Arabidopsis thaliana: one gene and its partner. The protein of the gene in region 1 interacts with the protein of each later gene in a pairwise test. Each region holds a gene or a part of one and is shown on either strand. Other genes may lie near its edges.

Region 1 (4,769 bases):
GAGCAATCGCTGCTTATCAACAAGATCAAAGACCTTGGTAAGGAGATTCTTAACTCATCCCCAGCTCAAGCCCCGTCTCGAGATTCTTAACTCGTCCCCAGTTCAAGCCCCGTCTCATTCCCCATCTCGATCAGGCTCGGGTTCGGGGACAGGATCCTCCTATAACCGGAGATTACCCGCACCAATGTAGTCACTTGTTTTTCCCGATCAAACAATCATCTATGATGTATATAGATAGATATGTAGGGGCATTGGATAAAATGTTCAGAGAGAGTTGAGCCCTTGTTACAAAGTTAGATACATATGATATGTAACATATCAAATCTGTAAGTTTCTTATTATTCCCTTTGTTATTCTGTAACAATAAAAACTGTTGTAATTGTTTGTAAAACTGTTGTTCTGTGTCTAGGCTGATCAGTCATTTACAGAAGCAAAATAGTTCTTTTGACCTCAAGTGTTATCTAGTCTCCTCAGCACAGTGAGATATTTTTCAGATTAATAATTGGTTAATTTCTCATCCCCACAAATGTTGTAAAGCTAAATGACTCGAGGTAAGATTCCTAACTTGTAAACTTAAGCCTTGAAAAGAATAAATCCACATGATTCGAGCATGTTTGTTCAAAAGAGTAAAAAACCGGTGACCATCAACAGATGATGAATAAACCGGACTAAACCATAAATATTCCATCATACATGAAGGATCAAGTAACATGGCATGATACAGCTTTAGATGACTAATTCATTGTGTGAGAGTACAATGCATATGATCCCAAGTTAACCTCTACTAGTAACTGTGAAAAATGGCTGTTACAAACGGGGATAGAAATTACATGGCCTAGGCTGAACCAGCGGGAACAGTAGCTGCATTGGAGCTAGGCTGAACCAAAGTGGCTGGAGTGGCACTCAGGCTCGGATCTTTTGACTCGGGTGCAACAATGGGAACTGTAGCTCCGGGTAGTGACAGAGGGGTTTTTGCAGCCGCATCTAGAGCGGGTATCTGATGCTGATTTGAGTTAGCCAAATCGTTTACGGCGTTGTGAAGTTGTTGTAGCCTGTAATCTGTCTCGGGCCGCCGACAAATCTTCCTCAAGGGAACGATTTCCTGCTGGGATAACGGAAAAGAAATCCAAAATAGGTGAGTGAGGAGGGTTTTGCTTTATGGTCTAAACCATGAAATGGAGCTGACGGGTAAATAAAACCGCAAGGGATAGAGAGAGAGAGAGAGAGATGATCGTCCAACCTCGGACTGGTCGTGGCTGTAACGCACCAAGAACCTACAACGACAACCTCTGACATCATGTCTTCTTCTCTGTGCGTCAAGAACAATGGCGTCAAAGTAAAGAGCTTGATCTTTTCCTTCCTGAAGATGTTATAACATAGTTCTAGTCAGGGATAAACTAACATGACACCTATCACTAAATGCTTAGAGAGCGAAGTTCTAAACCTGGAAACAAAGGACGAGATCTCCAGCAAGAACTGCAACACATTCTGATGCTTCACATGGGAGAGACCGTTGTCTTACATGCTTTTTGACATTTATCCATTCATCTTCTTCAACTTCGAAACCCGCAAATCGAACCTGCACTTCCTGAAATACCCAACAGAAAGATTGTTGTTAGCAAAACAAAAAAGGGGAACAAATAAGTCAACAAGAGGTTGGTTAGGAATTACCGGATCACCAATCTCCAAGTTTCTATGAGCTAGGAAAGCTTGCACATCATACCTGTAAGTAAGCAAGAGAGTTACATATCAGAGAAAACCAGTGGAATGTAATGATATTGTTACAAAGTATCATAAGTCAGCAAAAAAAATACTGAAGATTGAATGCAAGGGAATCACCATGCACCATCCCTGGCAGATTTGGCTTCAAATTCCAAGTAAGAGTTGTCTGAACCACTCCTCATGACACCGGGAACTATGAGGAAAAGCAGTAAACAGTTACGAAAATGGCATCTGTGCAATATCAGCCATACTGATCTAGACTTATGGAGAAAAAACTAAAACTGAAAAAACCAATGAAACCTATTCCAATAAATAACCTTCTCAACCTATTTTACTGAGAGTAGAATAAATAAAGCACCTAAACTACCAGAAGGGGCAGGCGTCATGCCGGGTAAATTTCCAGTCATATGAGTGGTTTTAGGAACTGATAATGGTTGAATCACACTTCTCATCTGATTTGGTAAATCCATACGCGGCATGGAAGATACATTTAGCTTCCCAGGAGCTTTGTTTCCCCTTGCTCGTAAAGCATATCGCCTATTTTGAAACCAGTTCCAGATCTGTGATGCATTAAAACAACATTCCCATTAACTTTTAAAAGCAAACCCAACAGACTCTGTCTGATAAAACTTAAGAATCAAGAAGGAAAAAGCCAGTACTTGCTTGAACTGCACAACAACTTTCCCCTTCCGCTCAGGTGATTCACTGAGACAACAGATAACAAAAAGTAACCACATTTTAGATGATAAAGACACAAAATCACTTTCAGGCCAAGGAATTGAGCAACAACAAGTAAAATACCTAAACTTATCAGCAAGAGCTTCAAGAATATGTCGACCTGGCATTGCTGTATTATGCTGTAGCAAAATTGCTTCCATCTCCGTTACCTTCATAACAATTGAAGATTAGCTATAACAAACAAGATAAAACCTCTTCAAAAGAAGTCACAAAACCATAGAACAACAGATAGATAGAAAAACTTATGTATTATCAAATCTAAACTCTTAAACATTACTTAATAAAGTAAAGCCAATGGATTTCAGAACATACATCGAATTGTCTTCAAGTTTCTACTAGCTAATTACAAAAATTCAATTGGACTTCAGGATCTAAACCCTATCATGAACCCAAAAAGAAGACCTAAATCCTAAGGAACAAAACCGACACAAAAATCAGATTTTTCAGCTCTGGGAGCTCAAAATCCGTGAAAGCAACACATTACAAAGAATCGAGATAAACCTCAGGCAGGATAAATCGAAACGCCGGACCGCCATTACTGGGAGGTCGACCCATGGTATCTTCTTCGTCTCACCGAAGAAAAAACAAAAATTGGCGGCAGAAAGTGAAATCAATCGGAGCTTCTCTCACTTAATATTCGAATTCACGGTGAATCTCTCTAGTACGGCCGGTGACCCAACGACAACGAAACCGGTTTTACTCAGACCCGACTCCGTCGCTTATATAACTTTTCACCTGTGTAATTTTTTTAAACTTAACATGTAGTAATGGGCTTTTAAAACCCATTAAAGGCCCATTTTCCTAAAACCGATACAAAAATCTTATCCGTATGGTCGAGTAAATCCAGCTTATCCGCCTGAAACTTATTTCTCAGTATCCAAAACGATGGCGAAGAAGACACTTCGCTGAAGCTTTTTTTTCCAAAAAAATTTCTTAGTGTCGTCAATGGCTTTGGCTCCACTTAATTTTACGGAAATGCCACTGAGAAGCTCTCTTCCTCTGACCTCTAGCTCTCGCTATTGTTCCTCTCCTTCGCTTCACGCATTGCTCTTCTATTCGTTGGGTGTGAAACCCTCGCGTCAACAAATTGTTCGGCCATTCTCTTCGCTGCGTACAAGCGAGCGTAGCAACAACAGGAGCAATAACAATCGTCGATTAGATCAACGTAATCATAAACCTACTCCTCCTTGGATAGATAAGTGGCCTCCGTCATCCTCCGGAGCTGGCGGTGATCATGCCGGGAAGAAAGGTGGTGAAAACAACGGCGGAGATAGAATTCGGTCTGCGGAGGAGGAAGCGGAAGCGAAACTTCGGTATTTGGAGAAGGATAAAGGACAAAACGCGATTGAGAGGATTGTTCTTCGGCTACGGAATTTAGGATTAGGTTCGGATGATGAGGACGATGTGGAAGATGACGAGGGAGGTGGAATTAACGGCGGAGATGTGAAGCCGGTGACTGGAGAAGAGAGATTGGGGGATTTGTTGAAGAGAGAGTGGGTGAGACCTGATATGATGCTTGCTGAGGGAGAAGAGAGTGAGGAAGAGGATGAGGTATTATTGCCATGGGAGAAAAATGAGGAAGAGCAGGCGGCGGAGAGAGTAGTAGGAGAAGGAGGAGTGGCGGTGATGCAGAAGAGGAGAGCTAGAGCTCCATCACTGGCGGAGCTCACCGTTGAGGATTCTGAGTTACGGCGGTTAAGGAGGGATGGAATGTATCTGAGGGTTAGGATCAATATACCAAAAGCTGGGCTAACGCAGGCAGTGATGGAGAAGATTTATGATACTTGGAGGAAAGAAGAGCTTGTGAGGCTAAAGTTCCACGAAGTGCTTGCTCGTGACATGAAGACGGCCCATGAGATTGTTGAGGTTCGTTAGTTCTCTTGAATACTTCATTGATTAGAACAGTAGGTTAGCGAAATTTGAGGTGCGAGATTATTCCAAGAGAGAGCGGTTTTCATTATCTATTGGGGATAAGCTTTGCGGAAGTGACATGATCTTTATAGGATAGTAAGAGACTCTGAAGTACCTAAGCTCTGAAATAGAATGGTTATAAAGCTTTTATAATAACAGTAGGAAATTTGTGAAAAACGTTAGATCTTTCTTGGGAACGATTATATAGTTGTGAATAAGGTGAATTTGAGGTGTTGATTAACTAGAGTGGATGGAGCTGAGCATGCTGTTAGAATTCTTTGAGTAACAAGACTGTGCAGGAGATGCATGTCTTAACTTTAGGTTTAAAAAAAAACTGATTGAATTACTCTAATGGGCAGCGTCGAACTGGTGGAATGGTGATATGGAGGGCCGGAAGT
Region 2 (5,716 bases), on another chromosome or scaffold:
GATTGACAGAAATTAGCAAAGATGTGAAAATTGTAGTTGAAATAAAGAGAGTACAGACTACAGAGAAGCAATGATCAGTGTCAGTTACTTGAATCTAAAGTCACTTCTTCTTTCTTTCTTTCAAATCTGAGATTTTCCTAGTATTCGTTAAACACGTCAGATCAAGTGGGCTCACACACACCACCCCGACCACAATTAAACTCTCCAAAGTAGAGTGGCAATGGCATCCCTTTAAATAGTCCAAAAGTATAAGGATATTTCAGTCAAACCCTTCTTCATAATATTTGATGTTCAACTAGAAATAAGCCTTTCCCAACCAAAGATTTAATTTGTAACAAGAGAAAGAGAGAGAGAATGGCAATGCCACTCAAATCAACATCTTCTTCTATGTCTTCTTCTCAATGTTCATCTTCTTCTTCACCAACCTCAAGCTCCATGAAACTCAAATCCCTAATACAAACTCTCATCATTTCTCAAGTTTGTCGGCTACTCCGAGAAATATCTAGAGTTTCATCCATTCTTGTTAGAGTCTTGAGAAAGAAGCAATACAATTTCTTGTCAGTGTCTTCTTTACTCTATCCAAAGAGAGTCTCAAAGAAACAAAAGAATAATATATTATTCGGCTCCTTCAGACTTCACTACAACTTTTGCTCCTCTCACGTAGTGCCTGTCTCTGCGCCAGTGCGTCTCCCGGAAGAGCTCTACTTAGCTCATCTCGTACACGAATCGACTTGGGAGTCAATGTACTCCACTGAATCCATGGATGGTCGCGATGATGATGATCAAGAACCATCTCAGCTCTCTAGCTATCTAAGACAGCTAGAGGATAAAGTTAAAGACGGCCAAGAAGAGGAGACAGAGACGATGATGAATGAGATTGATAAATTGGCTGATAGGTTTATAGCAAATTGCCATGAGAAGTTCATGTTGGAGAAAGTTGATTCATATAGGAGATCCCAAGGAACCCTGAATAGAAGCGGTTGATAACGATGATGATGGGGCCTAATTTGTATCTTTCATTTCTTTTTATGTGATTTCACTTTTTCCTTCTTTTCTTCTTTTGAAACTCCTCACATGCATAGTTTGAATTATCTGAAAATGTGTATTGGAAGCATAGGGATATATGGATTGTGTGGTGTTTGTTGTGTTACAGTCTAATGATGATGATATTGATGGTGGTGGTTTATAAACTAGAATAGACGACAGTCCAAAAAGGAGAAGAGAGGATACAAATGGAATGGATTTTTGTAACTTTGGCTTTTGTGGTTTATGACGTTCTTTTGCTACTATCTTCTGATATTGTTGTTTTCTTTTGGTTGTATACAACGGGACCAATTTCGATTTTCAGTTTACTTATCTGACTTTTCTAAGATCCATCAGAAATAAAATATTTCCTTAAATAACATCATTATGCAAAAAATTAAGATAGTGTAACCTTAAAAATGCTAGACAACATATAAAACAAGTTATATTTAAAATATCAAAATGTTGATAAAATTTATAAAGTGTAAATTTTAATTTTCAAAATCTCAGTTTTTCCTAAATTATATAATTGTATTAACTAAAACTACATTAATTTAAAATTATTTATTAACTTTATGTAATATCAATTAAAAATAATATTCATATATAGTTTAAGCTTATGCATAATGGAGCTTATATATAGATAATTTTATTTTTTATGATATATAAAAAATTTAAACATTAAATTAACAAGCCTGATTCTAAACAATTTTAGCATAAAAACCAACTTTTATTTATTATAAATACAAGTCTTAGTTTAGACTTTAGAGACTCCAGTAGAGGTGCCTTAAAAAAAACATACATTTCATATTTTCATTAACAGTTTGGGCCAAACAGGCCTATGTTATCATAAAATAGGCCCAAAATGAAATTAAACAAAAACGCATCGTCTTGTCTTAAGCTGCTTCCGACCAAACTAAGGTTTCTCTCTCCTCCAACTTGGAACTTCCCGTCTTCGATCTTCTCTTCTCTCTCTCTTCATCGCACGCTGTGCCCAGCCAGCTCAAAACACTGCACTTCCGCTTTTTATCAAGATCAATCTCTACCAATACTTAGAAAAGTTCTTTCCTTTTTGTCAAATTCTTTCAATTTCTCTCTTCAATTCCCTACGAATTACTCACTTCGGATCCAATCAGCTCTTTATAGCCTCTGCGTTTGGGAGTCAATCTTTCTCTCTTCGACAATTAAGGGTTTCGTATAAAGATTGCTGTTTTACGACAGGATTCTGAATAAGGAGGTATAATTTCTGTTTTGTACTTAGTTTGAGCGATTTAAGACATTTCTCTTTTGTCCATTGAGAGATCTAACAGTTCTAGGGTTTGAAATATCACTGGAGTTTAAAAAAAAGGGTTTTACTAAATTATTCTCTTTCTTAGGGTTTAAGATATTCTTTTCACATTCTATTAGATTGTTTGATCATCTCATGTCTATTTTTTTTGCTGTCCGAATATTCGCTTAAACTAAAGTTATCCAATTTCTTGATACAATAAGTCCACCAATAAGCTCCTACATTCTCATGAGACCTCGACTGTCAAAATTATTCATGAATCTGATTAGTGCCAATGTTTTTCGTGAAGTACCTGAAAATTTAGTAGTTTGTTAAACTATTGATGTTATAAAGTGTTTTCTACATTTCAGAAGAAGGGTTGGTTTCATTTGGATGGAAAGTATATGGTAGGTCTACACATTAATATGGAAGCGCAGATTCATATACTTGAGCAGGAAGCTTATTCTGCTGTATTAAGAGCTTTTCAAGCACAGGCTGATGAATTTTCTTGGGTAAGTCCTCTTTCTTCCTTTTGCCATCAAAAGACAAAGGATTTGGCTTATATGGTTTCATTTTATAGGATAAAGCAACCGTGATGACAAACCTACGTAAAGAATTGAGGATATCTGATGATGAAAACCGACAACTGTTGAACAATGTCCATAATGATGATCTTATCAAAAGAATAAGGTAACGAGTCTGATCATTTGTGATAGTAAAGCTATGAATCTAGATTTCGTTGTATCTTGTAATAATGTGTTGTATGATGGAACTGGACCAACAGAGATTCGAGACCAAGAGGTGGAAACCAGGTTGTTAGACATCAGTCCCTCGATGTTCATCCTAGTCCGACTTTTTCAGCTTCTCGGAAGAAACAGAAGACGTTCCAATCCGTAAGACTTCTTGTTTTAATCTTTGGTCATAGAACAACAAGCAGAGGATATCTGTATTTGCATATGGTTTTCTGTTTATTTACTGATCATATCATTTGTGATACACATGCAGTATCCGTCGATTGGTTCTACTAGAAGTAAGTCATTCAATAACCGTGTAGTATCAGCAAATGAACCTGCGGAAGCTCTTATTGGAAGAAAAGTGTGGACAAAATGGCCTGAAGACAACAGCTTTTATGAAGCAGTAGTTACACAATACAATGCAAATGAGGTAACTTCTGATGGCTGAGACCTTTTTATTGAGATTGAATCAGAAATTCATATGTTCAGCATTATATATGTTTGTGTGTCGAGGTGTCTCCTGTACTTCGAATATCTGACTCCAAGGCCTCAAAGCCTGATCGAAATTTACCGTATAGTTCAGAGTTACTCTAGTGAGTGAGCATTGCAATTACTTTAGGTTGATTGTAACTGTGTAGAAAGCTAAGCAACTAGTCGAATCGCTTAGCTAGATAGCTCACTAGTTAAAAAGGAAGTTTAGGCAGAATGAGCCGGGGTACTCTGGATTAGTCTAGGATCATGGTTTAGGCATTTGTCGAAAGACTTCTCTAGTTAATCAAGTCTCTCTATAGTGTAGTTCTTGATGAATTGAAGAAAGGAGGTGTTTACTGTTAATGTGCATATGAGGCGTTGAAAAGTATACTATGACTTTGATATATCTAGAAGTTTGGAACTGTATTTAGCGTTGAACATAGCTTAAGTATATTGTAATTGATGCATTCATTGTTCTCTCGCAGGGTCGACATGCGTTGGTATATGATATAAACACAGTGAATGAGACATGGGAATGGGTTGATCTTAATGAGGTAATCTTCACGAGTTTTTGATATTATTAGGTTTTTAAGTTTTTTGTGGAAAATGCTGCCAAGAATGTCTTTTGGGTAAAGTTACATTTGTTTTTGGAGGTAGCTTTCATTAGTAAGATTACGTGGGAAACATTTGTATAGTGTATCCACCTAGTATGAAAACATTTTCAGCAGAATCTGAAGTTAGTTAGTTATATAATTGTAGATTCCAACGAAAGATATAAGATGGGATGGAGAGGAAGATGGGGTAACTTTGAATGTAGGACATGGCGGTGGAACAACTCGTGGGAATCGAAGGACCTTAAGCCATGGTGGTAGAGGGAGAGGTCCAAGAACTCAGCCAAGAAGAGAACATTTAGCAACGGAAAACGGTGGTGGGAGGAAGTTTTTCGGTGAGATTGAATTGTTCAACACAGACTCACTTGTGAAAGAGGTAGGTATCTCTATCTCTCTGCATTTTGTTTCTCTTTAGGCAAAAAGGGTTTTTGATGTCGAAATCTTTCGCATTAGGTCGAGAGAGTTTTTGATTCAAACCTTCCTGATCCACATGAGCTTGATAAGGCCAAGAAGCTACTCAAGGTGAGCGATATGATAATTGATAAGAACTTTGTGACGAGATATCGATTGAAAGAAACAGTGAAGTGAAACTTGGTGTTGTTGTTATTGGATGATATAGGAACATGAACAGGCGCTTATTGCTGCCATTGCAAGGCTTACGGATGCTTCTGATTACGAAAGCGGTAATAAATGTGAACAGCGGCCTTTGTTTATTTCTATTTGTCATGCACTAAGATCACTAACAACAACATAATTTGTGCTGGTGAACCAGATGGAGAAGAACCGTATTCGCATGAGCTTCCAATGCTGCTGGGGTGAGTATGTATGACACCATCACCCCTAGGAAAAATGACTAGCAATATTTCTTTTTCTTCTGTTTTGCTTTAAGGGATCCCAGAAAATGATTTTGTTCATATATGATGAACAATTAGTAGTATTCTTCTAATTTGTGGTTTCAGAATGTATGAAAATAATCGTTAGGAATTTTGTTTGTAAAAACACTATTTTTAAAAAAAAATTCTGAACTTGTGTGATCATCATCAGGCTTGCCATCAGGATCGTTAATAATTTACTTGCTCAAATCCCCAATTCCTGTCTAAACAATGTAAAAAGAATCGAACCAAGCATGTAAATATTGAGAAGAGGCTTTTGACCTTTGAGCATAACATTCAAAATCTGATTCAATTAGCAAGAATATAAGATGGAAAGTGAGATCAACATAAATCACCTGTCACTGAATCCTTCAATTTTAAAAATATTTCAATGGTTACTTTACTTCAATTTATTTTATTGTTTTAAAAAAATATATTCAATGGTTATAAGAACGGTTAACAATAAATTAGTATCAGGGTTATCGTCTTATCGACCCGATGTTAGAAATTTTTTATAATTTTTCTTTTGTTAAAATGACAATCTTAATTCTTAATGGCAATTATATGTTCAATCTTAATGGCAATCTTAAACCGATCGATTATTCAAATTATATGTTCCGTATTTTTTTTAGATTGAATGTTATTGATAGAGTTATCAGAAAAAAATACTACTTTTTAGTTTAAATTACTGTGATTATGATAAAAAATTAAAACGCGCCAAACTTAACGATTTTTTTC

The links. The genes of interacting proteins can lie anywhere in the genome.
Region 2: the proteins of SHH2 (region 1) and EML2 interact in a two-hybrid assay, tested with the Arabidopsis thaliana proteins (one large-scale study listed by BioGRID).

Annotation. Positions count from the first base shown.
Region 1 is NC_003074.8:6,310,167-6,314,935, forward strand, and holds SHH2 (DNA-BINDING TRANSCRIPTION FACTOR 2), read right to left. Parts: upstream 3,241-4,769; 5' UTR 3,016-3,240; coding exon 2,962-3,015; intron 2,610-2,961; coding exon 2,524-2,609; intron 2,428-2,523; coding exon 2,382-2,427; intron 2,283-2,381; coding exon 2,081-2,282; intron 1,916-2,080; coding exon 1,840-1,915; intron 1,724-1,839; coding exon 1,672-1,723; intron 1,589-1,671; coding exon 1,445-1,588; intron 1,361-1,444; coding exon 1,241-1,360; intron 1,106-1,240; coding exon 836-1,105; 3' UTR 553-835; downstream 1-552. Other genes in the region: ATSYTF (C2 domain-containing protein), read left to right, coding at 1-90; EMB1865 (CRS1 / YhbY (CRM) domain-containing protein), read left to right, coding at 3,406-4,326, 4,731-4,769.
Region 2 is NC_003076.8:2,093,356-2,099,071, reverse strand, and holds EML2 (Emsy N Terminus (ENT)/ plant Tudor-like domains-containing protein), read left to right. Parts: upstream 1-1,832; 5' UTR 1,833-2,260; intron 2,261-2,661; 5' UTR 2,662-2,694; coding exon 2,695-2,802; intron 2,803-2,870; coding exon 2,871-2,980; intron 2,981-3,074; coding exon 3,075-3,183; intron 3,184-3,295; coding exon 3,296-3,454; intron 3,455-3,980; coding exon 3,981-4,049; intron 4,050-4,254; coding exon 4,255-4,482; intron 4,483-4,559; coding exon 4,560-4,628; intron 4,629-4,725; coding exon 4,726-4,789; intron 4,790-4,878; coding exon 4,879-4,925; 3' UTR 4,926-5,184; downstream 5,185-5,716. Other genes in the region: AT5G06790 (cotton fiber protein), read left to right, coding at 355-984. UniProt on the Arabidopsis thaliana protein: Probably involved in the regulation of chromatin states. Contributes to RPP7-mediated and basal immunity, especially against Hyaloperonospora arabidopsidis isolate Hiks1. Regulates negatively EDM2-dependent floral transition.